Struthio camelus: one gene and its partner. The protein of the gene in region 2 interacts with the protein of the main gene of each other region in a biochemical or structural test. Links are inferred from orthologs where the notes say so. Each region holds a gene or a part of one and is shown on either strand. Other genes may lie near its edges. The genes, in order: MYOG and CSRP3.

Region 1 (3,918 bases), on a different chromosome or scaffold from region 2:
GATACTCACTGCGGGCATCGCTGCCTCTACCCCCACCCCGGGGCCCACCCATTGCTCTTAGACTTGGCACAGATCCATGAGGAGATGGACTCATCTCTCACCACCCTCCCCGCAAAGCCGCTGGCAGGAGTGGACAAAGCATTCGGGATCCCTGAAACCGATTGCAGCCTGCCACTGGCACTGGGGGGAGCCGGGACAGGCTGTCCCTGCACGAGCGTGGTCCCCGCATGGTGAGCCCATGCCCCTGCCTGCTTCCTCCGAGCACCCCCAGCACCACGGTCCAGCACAACCTGCAGGGATTAACCTTGGGCTCAAGGCTGCTGGCAGCGGTTTGCTCTTAGAAAGGGAGAAAAGGGACATCTTTTTGCTTGGTTAACAACCAAAAAGGCTGAGAAACTTTTTGGGGAGTTCTGGGAACTGTGGTTAACGAGTGAAAAATGCTGCCGTTGGCTCACTACAGGTGAAAAAGTGTCTTTTCATGCAATGACCAGGAGAAAGGGATGGAGATGGACGCCTGTCCTTGGGCAAAACAGCCTTTTACTGAAAAAAATCACCTAATCAGGTTAACAGAGCTGTCATACGGGCTGGAACTCCTCTGACGATCACAAGGGGGATTTCTGGGGAGCAGATATTTTGATTTTGGTATTTTGATTTGTGGGTTTTGGGTCAAATGGATGTTTCACTGGGAAGTGACAACCTAAAAAATGAGACAGTTACTCAGTAAAGTGCTGGATTAACTTTTTTTGTCTCCATCTCTCAGTCTCAGAGTGGATGTTTATTGGCCTGCGTTGAGCCTGAAATGCAATTTTGCATTGCAGCAACCCCAAAGCACTGCCATTTGTAGCAGGGATACAAAATCACTGCCGCATCAACTCTGGGAGGAAAATGGAGGTAGATATCGCACCTAGATAGAGCTAGTCCACAGTAACCCACTGCTGGGGAGCTAGCTGGCAAACCTCCAAATTTTGGGTCGCTAGCGTATCTTGACTGCCGACGTGGAGAGAGAAAAACGACCGCAGCTTGTCTCTGCAAGGCTTTTGCACTGAATTGAAATTTCACACCGCACGTGAACATTAGGCTAGGTGGCTGGTTGGGCTTTCCGTTTTGTAGGGAAACAAAGTGAAATAAAGTCCATCTGCAGCAGGATGAGAAAATGATTTTCACTTCGGTTTGTTTCTCACTAAAATAGGAGATTCATGCAGATATGATTTTTTTGTTTTGGCCAAAAATATTGGATTTCACACTCATTACGTGAATTATCTGTTTCTCCCTAGGTCACAGCTGGAGAAGGAGACCGCAAGGAGGAGCAGTTACGCAGGAACTGCTCAGCATGGGTCGTATTTTAGGCAAGCACTTTGCATCAATACGTTTGCAGGGACAGCAGAAAAATCCAAGCGAATCAAATCAACATGAATATATATAGCTTGGGTGTATACTGGGAAGTCCTAAGAATTTTTTATAGTGATGCCTAAGACTGTTTTCAGGCCTTTACGCAGCCCCTAAATGTACTGTACTGGGCTACCCTGATATCCGATTATTTTTCCCTTAAATCCCTTGGTACTGGATCAGATGAATCTCTGGGAATCCCAATTTTCCATGCCTCTTATAAAGTCCATTTGTCACCCTTAGGGCATTAGGGAAAAGCATGCCCACATATTCCCCCCCCCAGGAATCAGAGGGTAGATTAAAAATGCCCCCCCTCCCCCAAATCTGGTTAAACCACCAAAATCTCGTGATTTTAAGGGCCCTGGCTTACAGTATGTGTCTGCTTGGGGCCAACAGCCCCGAGGGCAAGACACGGCCTCTGCAAGCATCCCCATCCGGCTCTCAAACTGGCATTTTCGGTCCAAGAAATGTGTTCGGCAGGTGGCTCCGCTCCAGCCCCCCCACCCTTTCACCCTGCCCCCTGCTCGGGACACGCCACAATGGCCATTGAGGGTATTTTATTTTATTTTATTTTATTTATACCTTTATTAGCTCTAGTGAGTGAGGGCACATGTGCCACGCTCTGTACAGTATCCAGCACTGGACACGCAGCCTACTCTACATACATATATAAATATGTATGTGTGTTTATAGGGAAAGAGAGCTATAGATCTGCTTTGACTGGGGATACAAGAGCATGGCTTGGGCTGGATCATTGCTGCCTCGTGCAGGGCATATCTGCCAGCTTGTGGTCACATTGTCTACCTCAGCTCTGCTGTCCCGAGGGCTGGAGGGTCCAGGTCCCGCTCCCACCAGAGGCAGGGCTGGGTCTGCTGCCTCTGGGTCCCTGTCCCCATGCTCTGGCACCGGCTGCGGTGCCTCTTTCTGGGACCACTACCCAGGCCGGTGGTGGCCTTAGCCCAAGGCTGGGGACCCCAGGGTCACGCACCCCAGGGTGAGCAGAGGTACTTACCCCTGGCTGGGTGGCCGTGCCGCGGAAGCGCAGGTCCCTCTGCTCCCGCTCCTGCTGGTTGAGGGTGCTGAGCAGGGTCTGGAGACGCTCGATGTACTGGATGGCGCTGCGCAGGATCTCCACCTTGGGCAGCCGCTGGTTGGGGTTGAGCAAAGTGCTCCGTTTCAGGGCCTCAAAGGCCTCGTTCACCTTTTTTAACCTGCGCTTCTCCCGCAGGGTGGCCGCCCGGCGCCGATCTATGGAGACCGTCTTCCGCTTGCAGATCTTGCAGGCCCAGGGCAGGCATTGCCCCGGGCAGTGCTCAGGCAGGGCTGAGTCCTTCTCCTCCATGCCCACCCTGCCCTCAGCACACAGGGCCACGTCGGCCCGCTCCGGGAAAGCCGCTGGCTCATAGCCCTGCAAGCGGGAGCCCAGGAAGTTTTCCCCGTCGTAAAACCTTTGGTCTGGGAAAAAGTAGGGGTTGGTCTCGAAGAGCTCCATGGACGGGCAGGCAGCGGGGAGACGTGTGCACGGCTTGGGGATGGCTGCTCCGTCTCCTCACACCAACTGGTTGGTGCCATTTAAACCCCGGCGCTGGCATTAAATCACGGAGATAAATATAGAAAACCTAAAGGAAACCTGAGCCTGCCCTAAGCTGCTGCCTCACATCAAAACTTGTCCATCTGATTTCATGTGCTCTCCCTGCAGGGATTACGCTGCCCGGGCCAGGCTGCGGCCGTGCCGGGGAGGAGGGGGAGCCCGGGGAAGCTGGCACGTCGGGAAAAGCAACTCGGCCGCCCTGTGAACAAGGGCTTCGTTTGAGCCCTTTGGGTGCCGCCGTGGATGGCGGGTGGTCGTGGGGCTGCCAGCTCCGTCCCGCATTCCTGCATCATCTGGTCCTTTCAGTTACCCAGGGCTGGCACAGCTCGGCTAGGGGAGAGCAGCACCCGGGTGGCTCCAGTCCACCCTGGGGCAGATGGCCCCACATCAGCCTCAGCCTCATGGGATCCTGCTGGATCCCTGCTTCCGGGGTCCCAGCCCCTTCCCCGAGCAGCCCAGCCACGAGCACTGCGAGCAAGGCAGCACCCATCCCCGTGCCCATCCGCCTCACTGCACCCCAAAGTGTCGCTCCACTCCGTGCCGCCCTCCTGCCCCAGGCTTCGACAAGGCTGGGCTTTTCCCTCTGTCCCTGGGAGGAAGAGGCACTGCAGGCAGGTGAGAGCAGCCGGGAGGGCTCAGTGGTGAGTTTGGGGCAAATCCTTCCTCTGCCATAGTCTTCCCAAAGGTCCCTGGCTGAGTCATAGCCCAGACATAGAGCAGCGTTTTAGGCATGAAATTCCTTTTCTTCCAGGGCTCTTAGAGGGCACCAAAACCAAAGAACACCATCTCCTGCTTGTCCCAGGACCCTCTATCTGGCCAAGCTTGGAAGATGAACCAGGCCTGGTCCTGGTCGCCTCCCATCCTGACACTGTCCTTCCTCCACCATCACTAATCTAAGCTAGCCTCCAGTGCTAGGTGCTGGACGTGTGTATAGCAAAAGC
Region 2 (3,918 bases):
AATGCAGAAATCACTTATTGTTTGGCTGGAAAGGGTATCTCAGAGCACCAAATGTAGTATACGATGACTTTCAAGTGGATAAGCAGAATGGGAAATGTAGGTCTTTATGGTCACTGAATCCTGTGATGGTAGAAATGCTGAACCAGAAGGACTTGGATAAGATGTGCTTTGCATCTCTATTTTTAGTCCTAGCTGACTGTTCAGTCTATAGTCTGTTAAAAGCATGAGAAGATTGTTTCCTTTTGTAATAAGCAATAGTATCAAATTAAATGACTGTCACTATTGAAATGGGAGTTTTGAGACTAGAAATTAGAAATTGTGGCCCCAGTTGAAGTCTGTGGGAGATGTCAATGCAGTCAGGATTTTATTCCTGATATCTAATCACAGCTCTACTGCTGACCTGTCATGTGACTCTCTGACTCGTTCAACCTTCCTTAGTCTTACTCCTTCACCAGCACCCCAGGGATAACACTACATAGCTTCCTTTACAGAGAACTTTCAATAGCTTTAATGGAAGAAATAGAGTGGTATCTGGCTGTGTAAACATAGGTATCTTGCACCATATTCAACATTGTCAGGTATCCTGCCTTATCCTCAGCTGTCACTCCAGAGAGCCTGGATCTCCCATAGGTCTTGCCTTATATTTGGTGGTGCCAGGCAAGTGTCTTGAGATTCAATTGCCCTTGCTGTTATTTTTGATGCCCTAGAATATTTGCCTATAGTGTCTTTTGAAGAAGATTAATACTTCCAGATGTTTCTAGGTTATTTAATGTTTTTTTCCTGTCAGTTTTAGTGTAAAGTGTGGTATTCCTCATTGGCAAAAGCTGTGTTTGACTTAAAAATAATTTTAACACACTCCAATTCTGTTTTAAAGTATCAATTAAATACTGCTATGGTTTCTTTCTCTTTCTCACTATGTCACGTTTAATTTTGATGTTTCTGCAGTGCAAAGCATAGTTCCTGTCACTGCATCTCAAAAAGCCTGAAGGTGTTTTGGTCGAAATCTAATCCATTGCAGAAAGCATCATTTCTCAGCAGAATAGTTATACAATAGAGAAAATGATTGCATTTGAAGAGTGAGCTCATTTATACAACATGGTTATGTATTTATAGTGATATTTCTTATGGTCATATACATTTAGTGGGCTATGGATACAAATACAAGTTTGGGTTTATGAATTAGTCAGTGTATTACTTTTATCCTCATGCCGCATAGCAATTTTTTTCTATATTTCTGCAGTAAACCAGCACATAGGGGTCAAGAGACAGGATTTTCCACAATGACACAGAAAAATAAATACTGATTTTGACTGACACTGGTTATGTTAAGTTACACTAGTCCTTTCGAAACAGAAGATTTTAAGTGTCTTGATAAGAAGCAAGTGAGGGGCAAAGCTGACAGGAGAACTCAGTGCTGCCTCTGAATCTTTTGCTTTTGTCACTATGTATCCTTCCCACTACTGTCTTATTTTCTGGCATGGTAATGACGCATTTCTATTAAAACTTCTTTGGTGAACACCTTTGCAGAAATTTAAGATGACGTTTCCAAAAGATGTGATACGCTGACACTAGAACCAGATACTTAGTTCTGACTTTAAAAAAGCACCCTTCCCTCAAACACAAAGTTCAGTTTTCTTCACAAGGCTGTGGGAAACTACATCCTGCTGTCCAAATGATCTGTTTCTTTCCTCAGACCTTATCCTGTGCTATCAACTTCAGCTTTTCCTTCCACAATATCTTTCTTTACACCCTTATCCTTGTCTTAAGTCCTCTAGTCCCAAACAAAACTCTTATGGACTTTGAAATATTGCCGGGATGATTGAGATCAGACTCAGAATTCTTTTAAGTACGTGCAAGGCTTCATTCTTTGCATTCTTTGAAACAGTTTTATCTTTAGACAGAAAACTTTTTGAAGCAGATAATTATTTTTTTTTAGCTATTTTTTTTCCTAAAGACTTGGCCAGTCATGCTACCTTTTAACGCTTGAGTGATGAGCATGTGAATTCTGTCATCTTGCATTTTTATTTGTGATTTTTCTGTTGGAGGTGGAGGTTATGTAGAAATGTCCTTCTGGTTTAATATAAAACCAATTAGACATTAAATATTTAGTGACTTTTTTGTTTCAGAATGCTTTGACTCTCTTACTGAGAACTTCTGAAAGCATATAACTTTGTATACTTTAGCAAGCTCGTATATTAAGATAGAGTATCTGTGGAAGAAGTCATTCTTCAGCTTTGTAACAAAATTTCTAAACACTTCCACAATTTCTATGCTATCCAGTCTTGCATGTGGTAAAAATGCCTGTCTCAGAGATGAGACCCTCCACAGCCCCGTTCTTGTAACACTAATAGCTACCGTAAAGGCCTAGAAGCCCAGAAGAATCTTTCTTTTCAGTTAGCTACTGCAAACCTAAAATACTGCTGTCAGCTCTATAGGACTCCCATTTCTGTGCTATACCTGCACATTTTTCTTAGTCAAGCAATAAGCTGTTTCTACTAGCTTTGGGGGGGAAAAAATAAAAAAACCCAAATCCGTATATCAAACAGTCTTGCAGAACCCCATGTACTACACTTACCAGAGCAGGCTGATGTTTCTTCCTATTTTCTTTGGCCTCTGACAGAGTTTAACTTGAAGCCTTCCTGCACTCTTTAAATGCAGCGGCCACCACTGCTGGCCCTATGAGCTGGGAGGGGAGGGAGCTGGGAGAGGTTGCTTCAGGGATCTGAGCAATGCCATTGCTATCACTGAGCTGAAAATAACATCTGACAGAAGCCTGGCATTTTGTTCCCTTACGTCCACTCGTGAGTAGGTGGACAACAATGCAGCCCCTCCGATTACACCTAAAGGCATTCTTAAAAGCCCTCCAACAGATCAAATAAAGAGTGAAATTTTAGAATTGCGATTAAATTGCTTAAGCATGAATCATAAAATAATGGTTCCTGAAATGAGGATTTAGTAATATATGATGACATCATTGCCAAAAATAATCTAACAAAATAATTATAAAAATAATCAATAACTCATTGTAAGAACCTCTGGGACTCAACAGTCTTAAACCAAATAGAATTTTATTTAGTTAAGTAGTTCATAACTTGATAGCTACAAATGGTTGATATCTGCTAGAAGTCTTAGACTATGGCGACTTATGCTTGTCACTCTAATTTTTAATTTTGTACTTTTTTTAAGCATTAAGACAGGTAGCTAATACGTGTAGAGTTTGGCACGTTTAATCATAGCATCTATAAGCAATTACGAAACCTTGCTGAGCCCCTTGCAAATGCGTGATATTGCAACCATTTTAGAGATGGGCTAAAGTGTAAAGCGCTTAAAGTTCATTTCTTTACAGAGATTATTGTTTGTTTATTTTTAAGTGCTTTAAAGATTGAGGGTAATTCTCATCTTTGGAGGGACTTCTGAATTTAGAAACTTCATTCTTCATGGATTTTGGGAGGAGTGAAAGGGCCAATCACCTAGAACTTAGGGGTTACAAACTGAAGACTGATAGTGAAGGTCTCAACTCTGGGACTTTCATGGGAGTGTAAGGAAATTAGATGCCAAATGTATGTGAAATTTCAGGATTTTAGGGGCCCATTCACTGAGGCTAATTTGAAAATTAAGTCTTAAGAGTCTAACATCTCTTGACTATGGAGTCCAGCAAAGGTTTCTAATGTAAGGTTAGAGGCCTAATTTTTATTGAGCAGAAGAGTCTTGGACCCCATTTCTTCTCATTCATTCTTCCTGGGTGGTTCATGGAACTCTCTTGCTTACGTTAAATAAGGCTAAATGGTGCGGTGGCAGCTGCAGATGTGTATGGTATGAACATCTCCAATAAGATGGTCGAGAGGAAGGACTGGGGCATGACTGAGCTTGCCACTAGGCTACAGGAAAGCACTAGCAGGTTGATAACCACTTTCTGTT

Evidence for each region.
Region 1: the proteins of CSRP3 (region 2) and MYOG form a complex in vitro, tested with the Homo sapiens proteins (2 studies listed by BioGRID and IntAct, with this or other methods). The link is inferred for Struthio camelus from reciprocal best matches to the Homo sapiens genes CSRP3 and MYOG.

What each region holds. Positions count from the first base shown.
Region 1 is NC_090965.1:3,753,887-3,757,804, forward strand, and holds the start of MYOG (myogenin), read right to left. Parts: upstream 2,930-3,918; 5' UTR 2,879-2,929; coding exon 2,399-2,878; intron 1-2,398. UniProt on the Homo sapiens protein: Acts as a transcriptional activator that promotes transcription of muscle-specific target genes and plays a role in muscle differentiation, cell cycle exit and muscle atrophy.
Region 2 is NC_090946.1:32,068,634-32,072,551, reverse strand, and holds the start of CSRP3 (cysteine and glycine-rich protein 3), read right to left. Parts: upstream 2,747-3,918; 5' UTR 2,576-2,746; intron 1-2,575. UniProt on the Homo sapiens protein: Positive regulator of myogenesis. Acts as a cofactor for myogenic bHLH transcription factors such as MYOD1, and probably MYOG and MYF6.